Nothobranchius furzeri: one gene and its partner. The protein of the gene in region 1 interacts with the protein of each later gene in a biochemical or structural test. Links are inferred from orthologs where the notes say so. Each region holds a gene or a part of one and is shown on either strand. Other genes may lie near its edges. The genes, in order: atg9a and AP-2 complex subunit mu-A.

Region 1 (4,551 bases):
CCACTGCGCAGCCCTGGAATGAATCATTACAGCAAAAATATTCATTATTCACTAATGTGAAGTATAGGACACTTAATCAAACACATTTAAAACAAATTGTTCATTCAACAGAATATGAATATATGAAATTTTAAAGTAATTTATGTCGCCAAAGATAGACTTTATTCAAAGAGTAAAAGATAAGGAGTCCAAATCTTGCAGCCTTGAGGACTCATGATGCATGCAGGATTTGCTAAGAATGTTGGCTCAAGTTCATAGATTTCATTTCGGCACCACGGTGTCAGATTGACCTGTATGAAGCAGTTTGGCCAGCAAGTTAAGAGTTAACTTCTGGTCATTTTTGATCAAGTACTTGGCCTTTTGGTACACTACACTGGCTTTGTGGAAAAATTATCTTTGTATTCTGGACCCAGCTACTGGACAAAACTCAGAGAATAGAGAATATTTGCAAAAACAGATAAAAGCAATTTTTGGATCAAAATCATCAATGTTACCGATATAAACCAAAGCAAGATGTATTTTCTGGACATTTATTTAAAAAATATCTGTTCTTGTAAATCAAGTCTTAATTTCTAAGACAGAATGATTTTTACCCAAATTTAAATTAATTAAATATTTAAGAAATGTTTTAGAACCAAACATTTTCTCTTCCTCAACCCTTGCCTGATGTGTCTTCTTGTTTGTTTTGTTTTCGGCTTTCACATGTAAACAACAAACCAATACTTGTGCAATACTGGATGTACATTGGTATGTCTGTGTCCCTTATGCTGCATATTTTTAAAAACTCGATTTTCTATTTTTATTTGCTGTTTTCATTGTTGAAGGTACATCAATAGCTTACTGCCTTTGTGTAATTACCTGCAATCTTATTTTTCCTCCATCCTTTTCTCTAATTGTATGTGCTGCTGTAACGAGTGAATTTCTTCATTGTGGGATTATTCTATTCTATTCTATTCTAAATAACATTCAATAATTCACATGATTATGCAATCAATTTAATAAATGAGCAAAAACTGTTTTCTGTAAATCCGACATGATTGTAGTACTAGAGAAAGACCACACGGTGGCAGTAAAGTATTCATTAAAAACGGTGACTTGAAAGGAGTGGAGAGATTTATTATCGGACAGCTCTGCAAGGACTTCATTTTAAAATGGGAAAATGTTGTATTTTGTTTTTTTCGCAAGCACAGAAATGAAGGTGTATACTTTGTTATAAATTTGTTAATTATTCTAGCTAAATTCTATCTCCACAAATGCAAATATAGTAACCAAAAACCTAATTTCAAGCACTATTATAGTGATACTCTATTTTACATAAAATTGATTAGTGGATCACTAAACAAAAAAGCTTTAAAAAACTATAACTATTTGCACCACCTATAATTTATTTGGATGTGTGTAACATTTCTGTAGTGCACCCCCTGGCACATGTTGCATCTTCTTGGTTCAATTTTGTATGCTATTTGTTTGTATACTTATGACCTTGTTCAATAAAGTTTTTTTTTTGGGGGGGGGGGGGGGGGAGAAAGGAGTGGAGAGATGAAAACCTTTTGATCCCACCCTTTTTCTGTTTCGTCAGACAAGTCCTTCTCTGATTGGATAATTCCTCTGTCACTCACTGATGACAGGCTGCACGCAGCTAGGCGTTTCGAAAATGAAACTGTCTCGTACCTGACGTCGAGAGGGAGCACAGAGGAAACGAAAAATAATATAGTTATCTTAAATTCCAGGAGATTGACTGTTCTACACCCACCCAGTAAAGGAAGAGGAGCCAAGTGGCGTGGACTCCATGCGGCTGGGACCGAGAGGAGAGGTAGGAGAGGCAGGCCTGTTGTGTCAAAGCACGAAAACGTCTCTTGTTGTTTTACAGGTAATTAGTCATGGCTAATAAACATTAGCATAAATAACATAAAACTGACATTTGGAGTAAGTTTTGCTTTGATTGTGTGTGTTTGTGTGTTGTGTAAGCTGTCAAAATCGTAAGGATGGAATTTTATTAGGGAAAGAGGCTATTTTTGAATAGTTTTTATTTTAAAAGTAAAATATATATGAATGTTATTACAGCTGGACACGAGCTATCGGTTTAAAATGGGACGGGCCATACTCCAAATAATGTAAGTCTGTATTGTTATTATAATTGTAATAATAATAATTATAATAATAATAATTATTATTATTACATGTTTCCTAATGTGATTTTAAAATTTGAGTTCCAAGAGTGTCTTTGGGATCTCTTCAGTGCTTATAGCAACACTTTAAACGTGTAAGCAGGTTTGAAAAAACTTTTATCACATTTACTTCATTATTAATCAATTCTAGTTGATGATTTCAAAGGGAGCTGCAGTATGAAGCAACAGAGTTTCATATCCTCCACTGATTCTCATTTGATATCATCCCCAGATCATGTTTCATAAGGCATTTTAAATCTATTTTCTAATTTGGTTTTGACATTTCAAACATTTATAAGCATCTGGTGTATTACTGAAGGTGCTCTTTTTTTCAAGGTGTTTGGTTTTAAATTATTGTTATCAACAGAAATCTGGTGGCAGCTCCAAAACCAAAGCTCTGTCTTTACCTGTGTTATCTACAGGATGTTCAGGATAAGAAAGCTGGTAATGATTATCCTTGTCTCTGATACCTTCTCCAGCCTGTAGTTGTGACTGCTCAGTCAGACTCAAGCCCGGTCACCATGGCGCATTTTGACACAGAGTACCAGCGCCTGGAAGCGTCCTACAGCGACTCTCCCCCCGGAGAAGAAAACCTGCTGATGCACGTGGCCGAAGGAAGCAAATGTATGACATGCACACTTAAATGACATCACATATTGCCCAACAACGTCTTTATTTATCAACGATTCTTGTCATTCAGCCCAGTGGCATCACATTGAAAACCTGGACCTGTTTTTTCAAAGAATATCCTTTTTTACACGATTGTTACAACTACATTAGACCAATAATCTCACAATGTTCCTTAATTTTCACCACGTCTATAATCTTCACCAGAAGAATGGATTCACCTGCATGTTGTTGGGGGAGATCTTTGAGCTGGTGTACGTATCATAAACCTTAGTCATGTTATAGTTGACGTCTTGTCTTTCGTCTCTTTAATCCTTGCTGTTTGGTCCCGACCTCCCCCCCGCAGTCAGCTGCTGTTTGTGGTTGGCTTCACCGTGTTCCTCGCTAACTGCGTGGATTATGACATACTTTTTGCCAACAAGTTTGTAAACCACACTAATTCTTTTAAAGTCACTTTGCCTGATGCATTCCTCCCAGTGGATGTCTGCAGCGCTCAGTGAGTCTGACATTTTATTCACAATAAATCTACATTTTCCACACTAAGATTTGCCTGATTGTGACAAAAGAATTGTTTTTCTTGCAGCATTCGAGACAACACGTTTGTGATCTTCGTGTTGATCATCTCCGGGGTGTTTTGGCTACATCGCTTTGTCAAATTTATCTACAACGTTTGCTGTTACTGGGAGATCAGATCTTTCTACATCCACGCCCTCAAGATGTCCATGGTGAGATGAGACAACATGTCCTCAATTGTTTGGTGTTTTCAAAATAACATCCAGTCAAGTTTGTAATGTTTACAAACATCAGAGGCTGACCTTTAACCTCTTCTTGTGCTCCGTGCTGCAGTCTGAGCTCCCCTATGCAACATGGCAGGAAGTTCAGGCCAGGATCATCGAGATCCAGAAGGAGCACCAGATTTGCATTCATAAAAAAGAACTGACAGAGCTGGATATTTACCACCGCATCCTCCGCTTTAAAAACTACATGGTGTGTACATTTCTGCTGGCATGGTGACTGTTCAACAGCTGATCAGATGACAGATGTGCTTCCTGTTCTTCTCTAGGTTGCTATGGTAAACAAATCTCTCCTCCCTGTGCGATTTCGGCTTCCGGTGCTCGGAGAGTGCGTCTTTTACACTCGCGGTCTTAAGTACAACTTTGAGCTCATCTTTTTTTGGGGACCAGGTGAGTTAGAAGTGTTTTTGATTTGTTTTTATTACATTCGACTCAAGACCTTGTAGCTAAACTGATGTTTCACTCATGCATGTTAACATCCCCGTGTCTGCATGTTTGTGACAAGTTTCAGAGCTTTTCATTCCGCTTCTGTAGGCTCTCTGTTTGAGAACGAGTGGAGTTTAAAACCTGAGTATAAGAGAGGAGGCAACAGGCTCGAGCTCGCCGACCGGCTGGCGTCTCGCATCCTTTGGATTGGGATTGCTAATCTGCTGCTGTGTCCAGTCATCCTGGTGTGGCAGATTCTTTATGCTTTTTTCAGTTACACCGAGGTAAGCGCTCCACATCCACGCATCAGAGCTCTGAAGTTTTATTTCTGCAGCAGCAGCTTGTGTTTGTGCACCCAGGTGATCAAACGAGAGCCCGGTTCTCTGGGGGCGAGATGCTGGTCTCTCTATGGTCGATGTTATTTACGTCACTTTAATGAACTGGACCATGAACTCATGTCCCGCCTCAGCAAAGGCTACAAGGTCAGCTCACCACCTGAACCTTCTCCAAAAGCATCAGATATTAGGATTTTTCAT
Region 2 (3,293 bases), on another chromosome or scaffold:
TTCTGTCCTTGAGCTCCGACTAAGAAATTCTTTTGTCCTTTTGTTTGCTCTCCTTTTGGATGGCTCTCTGTCTTTTATCCTTTCTTTACTTTGTGCTGTACCACAGTGATTTAGGGGGAGGAAGGTACGATAGCAACAAGGTTCCTCTCCCTCCACCGCTTCATTCTCCTCCTGTGTTCTGCCCAGTAACTGTTTCATCATCCCTAACCGTCCTAGTTCACTCTTTACCCATCATCATTTACTGTAGTTTTGTAGTAATAATTTAATCCAGGTTCAAATGTTGTCTTCTAGCAGCCATGTCTTTGTACTTAAGTATACTGGTGGATATCCAGAGAGTAGATTTTATCTGTAGATTGGAAAAGGATAGTTAAAATCCAGACTAGTAACAAGTTAGTTGGTGTGTCTGATGCATCTTCTGTCCTCTTCAGTGGGAAGCAGTCCATAGCCATTGATGACTGCACTTTCCACCAGTGTGTGCGTCTCAGTAAGTTTGATTCTGAGCGCAGCATCAGCTTCATCCCTCCTGATGGAGAGTATGAGCTCATGAGGTCAGTAATGGTAGTAGATTATTAGAGCCTAAAGCATCCATGAATGTCTGCTCTGATAGATCCTGCTGGGTTTTTATTTATTTTTTTATTTTTCCACTCATTCAAAATTTTGGTGGATTGATAATTCCCCCCCCCCCCCCCATTTATTTTTATTAATTTACTTTTTAAATGTATGTATTTTTCAGATATCGCACCACTAAGGACATCATCCTGCCGTTCCGAGTTATTCCTCTGGTCAGGGAGGTGGGTCGCACCAAACTGGAGGTTAAAGTGGTCATCAAGTCCAACTTCAAACCTTCGCTGCTGGCTCAGAAAATTGAGGTCAGCAAACACATTTTTACATTTTTGATGAAATTCTTTAAGTTTTGACTTCACTGGTAAATATCTGGGCTAATTCTCTCCTCAGGTGCGAATTCCAACACCCCTCAACACTAGCGGTGTGCAGGTGATTTGCATGAAGGGAAAAGCCAAATACAAGGCCAGTGAGAACGCCATAGTCTGGAAGTGAGTTGGAGCTTAGATTAAATTTAATTAACAATCTGAACTCGATGTTTAACCTCTCAAGTATTCCTGTGTGGGAATGTTTCCTTTGTGAAGCTACAAGTTTGCATTTGCAGGATCAAGCGGATGGCTGGGATGAAGGAGTCTCAGATCAGTGCTGAGATTGAGCTGCTGCCTACCAACGATAAGAAGAAATGGGCCAGGCCTCCCATCTCTATGAACTTTGAGGTAAGCGCAGCACAGTCCAGTCTGTCCTCCTTTAAGCTGTCACAGCTTAAGAGCTTCCTAATTTCAGTCGGATTCAAAGTGAACTTTTCTCTTCCAGCTGATGTTTCTAAAACTATATTTATTCTGTGAACAGTCACAGACATAGATAATAATAAGTTAGATATTTCCCAGCTTCTCCTGGTGGCTGAGACTGTAATGTGGTGTTGGCAGCCAAACAAATGGACTCTGGGTTAAATCAGATCCCAGTATTTGCTAAGAAACTTAAAAGCCGTTTAGTGTTAAACAAACTCAGAGCTTCGGTGGTGGGTAAACAGAGCAGCCCGCCTGTCCTAACATGTTCCAACTTCCCTCTCCTCTCCAGGTTCCTTTCGCACCCTCTGGCCTGAAGGTGCGCTACTTGAAGGTGTTTGAGTCCAAGCTCAATTACAGTGACCACGACGTCATCAAATGGGTGCGGTACATCGGCCGCTCCGGCATCTACGAAACCCGCTGCTGAAGTTCAGCCCCGCCAGGCAGCAAACTGACCACTTCCCTCCCATCTTTCCTGTCATTTTATTCTTCTTTCCTCCTCCTCCGTCTTTGTTCCTCCCTCTGTCCTTATCACTTTTCTCCTTCCCCATCATCCCTTCTTAACTAGGTGTCGGAGATTGAATTTACATCGTTTAAAAGAAAAACAAGTAAATATGGTGTAATTCAGATATATGCAAAATGTGAACCATTGTATCGTATATATCTAGTAGTGATGAGTAAAAAATGTAAACCATCTGGTGTCCGAATGAAAAAGACAAGTGATGCCGGGTCTCAGGGGGAGAGGGCGGGAGCTTTGTGTATCCAGTGTTATCGTTCTTCTTTTCTCCGATATAGAAATCCCACGTCAGTTAACCCTGGGAAGGGGGTTCGTCACTATTGTGATTTAAAATAAGTCCTGATAGTTTCTATATATAAATATCCTGGTAGAGTTGACCTTTTCAATGAATCGGTATTTGATGCTACATGCTCGTCACTAGAAGGTAAATCATTCCCAGCCGACTGTCGTTCAGAAAGAAATGACGCTGAGCAAGTTGGTTTTGTACTTGGACGTTACTGATCCTTTACCTGTGTTCCTTTTCCCTCCGCTTTCAGAGTTATGCCAGGCAGGTTAGACCTTCATCCTGATTGGCTTATTCTGACTCATTCCCACAAACATTTTATAAGCACTAAGATTAACTTTCACACTATTTTTGGATTTAAAGATCAGTCTGCAGGGTTTGCAGTGAGGTGATGTCTCCCCCTGGTGTTTGCTTCGCCACTGTCTGCTTCATGTGTGTAGCCCTGGTGACCGTTCTGTCCAATAAAATCTATGTAACCAAACATCTTACCCCTCCTTTTCAGCTGTGTTTTTTATAATACTCTGGGGGGGGGGAGTACAGTCATTTTTCTCCATTACTGCTGTCAAAAGAAAATTGAAAGGGCAGAAAAAATTAGATTGGTTAATCAGACCAGAAAAACTGTTAAAAACTGTTAACTTTTTTTATTCTTGGGTCTACATCCAAAATATCAGACAAAAGTAACAATTAAAACTACTTGTGTACATTTCTTTGCCTTCTGCCATTCGAGTTAAGTGGACGTGATTCGTAGCTTAGCACCACAAGCTAGGCTGGATCTCTCCCCTGCAGTTTCTCTTCAACGCTCAAATCTGATTAGCAATGACAGCCAACATTTACACTAATCATTACAATGTCTCGTTTTTGCTTGGATGAAAGACATGCTTAGATCACTGAAGATGGGAAAATCCAGGATATTTGACTAGACAATTCTGTTACTATGATCCTCGTTTGTGCCCATGTTTAAGCTACAGGTGACGCCATCAAACAGCATTAGTTAGTGGAAGTACTGGTTAACCCTCAGATTGCCATCGAAGTGTGCTAGTCATGAGGAACTTTTAAAACCCTCTTTAGGAAGAACATTTGTGTATTTCCAAGATGAATATAAAAACAATACCTGCTGTTTTGATACAAGTTCCTCATAAGCTTAGAT

The links.
Region 2: the proteins of atg9a (region 1) and AP-2 complex subunit mu-A interact in a biophysical measurement, tested with the Homo sapiens proteins (4 studies listed by BioGRID and IntAct, with this or other methods). The link is inferred for Nothobranchius furzeri from reciprocal best matches to the Homo sapiens genes ATG9A and AP2M1.

The regions. Positions count from the first base shown.
Region 1 is NC_091758.1:23,767,301-23,771,851, forward strand, and holds the start of atg9a (autophagy-related protein 9A), read left to right. Parts: upstream 1-1,625; 5' UTR 1,626-1,813; exon of another isoform or gene 1,814-1,870; intron 1,871-2,064; 5' UTR 2,065-2,114; intron 2,115-2,647; 5' UTR 2,648-2,689; coding exon 2,690-2,792; intron 2,793-2,868; coding exon 2,869-2,912; intron 2,913-2,984; coding exon 2,985-3,049; intron 3,050-3,141; coding exon 3,142-3,291; intron 3,292-3,378; coding exon 3,379-3,520; intron 3,521-3,641; coding exon 3,642-3,782; intron 3,783-3,858; coding exon 3,859-3,979; intron 3,980-4,123; coding exon 4,124-4,497; intron 4,498-4,551. UniProt on the Homo sapiens protein: Phospholipid scramblase involved in autophagy by mediating autophagosomal membrane expansion. Cycles between the preautophagosomal structure/phagophore assembly site (PAS) and the cytoplasmic vesicle pool and supplies membrane for the growing autophagosome.
Region 2 is NC_091751.1:56,902,656-56,905,948, forward strand, and holds the end of AP-2 complex subunit mu-A, read left to right. Parts: intron 1-428; coding exon 429-548; intron 549-733; coding exon 734-869; intron 870-954; coding exon 955-1,052; intron 1,053-1,165; coding exon 1,166-1,277; intron 1,278-1,638; coding exon 1,639-1,773; 3' UTR 1,774-2,634; downstream 2,635-3,293.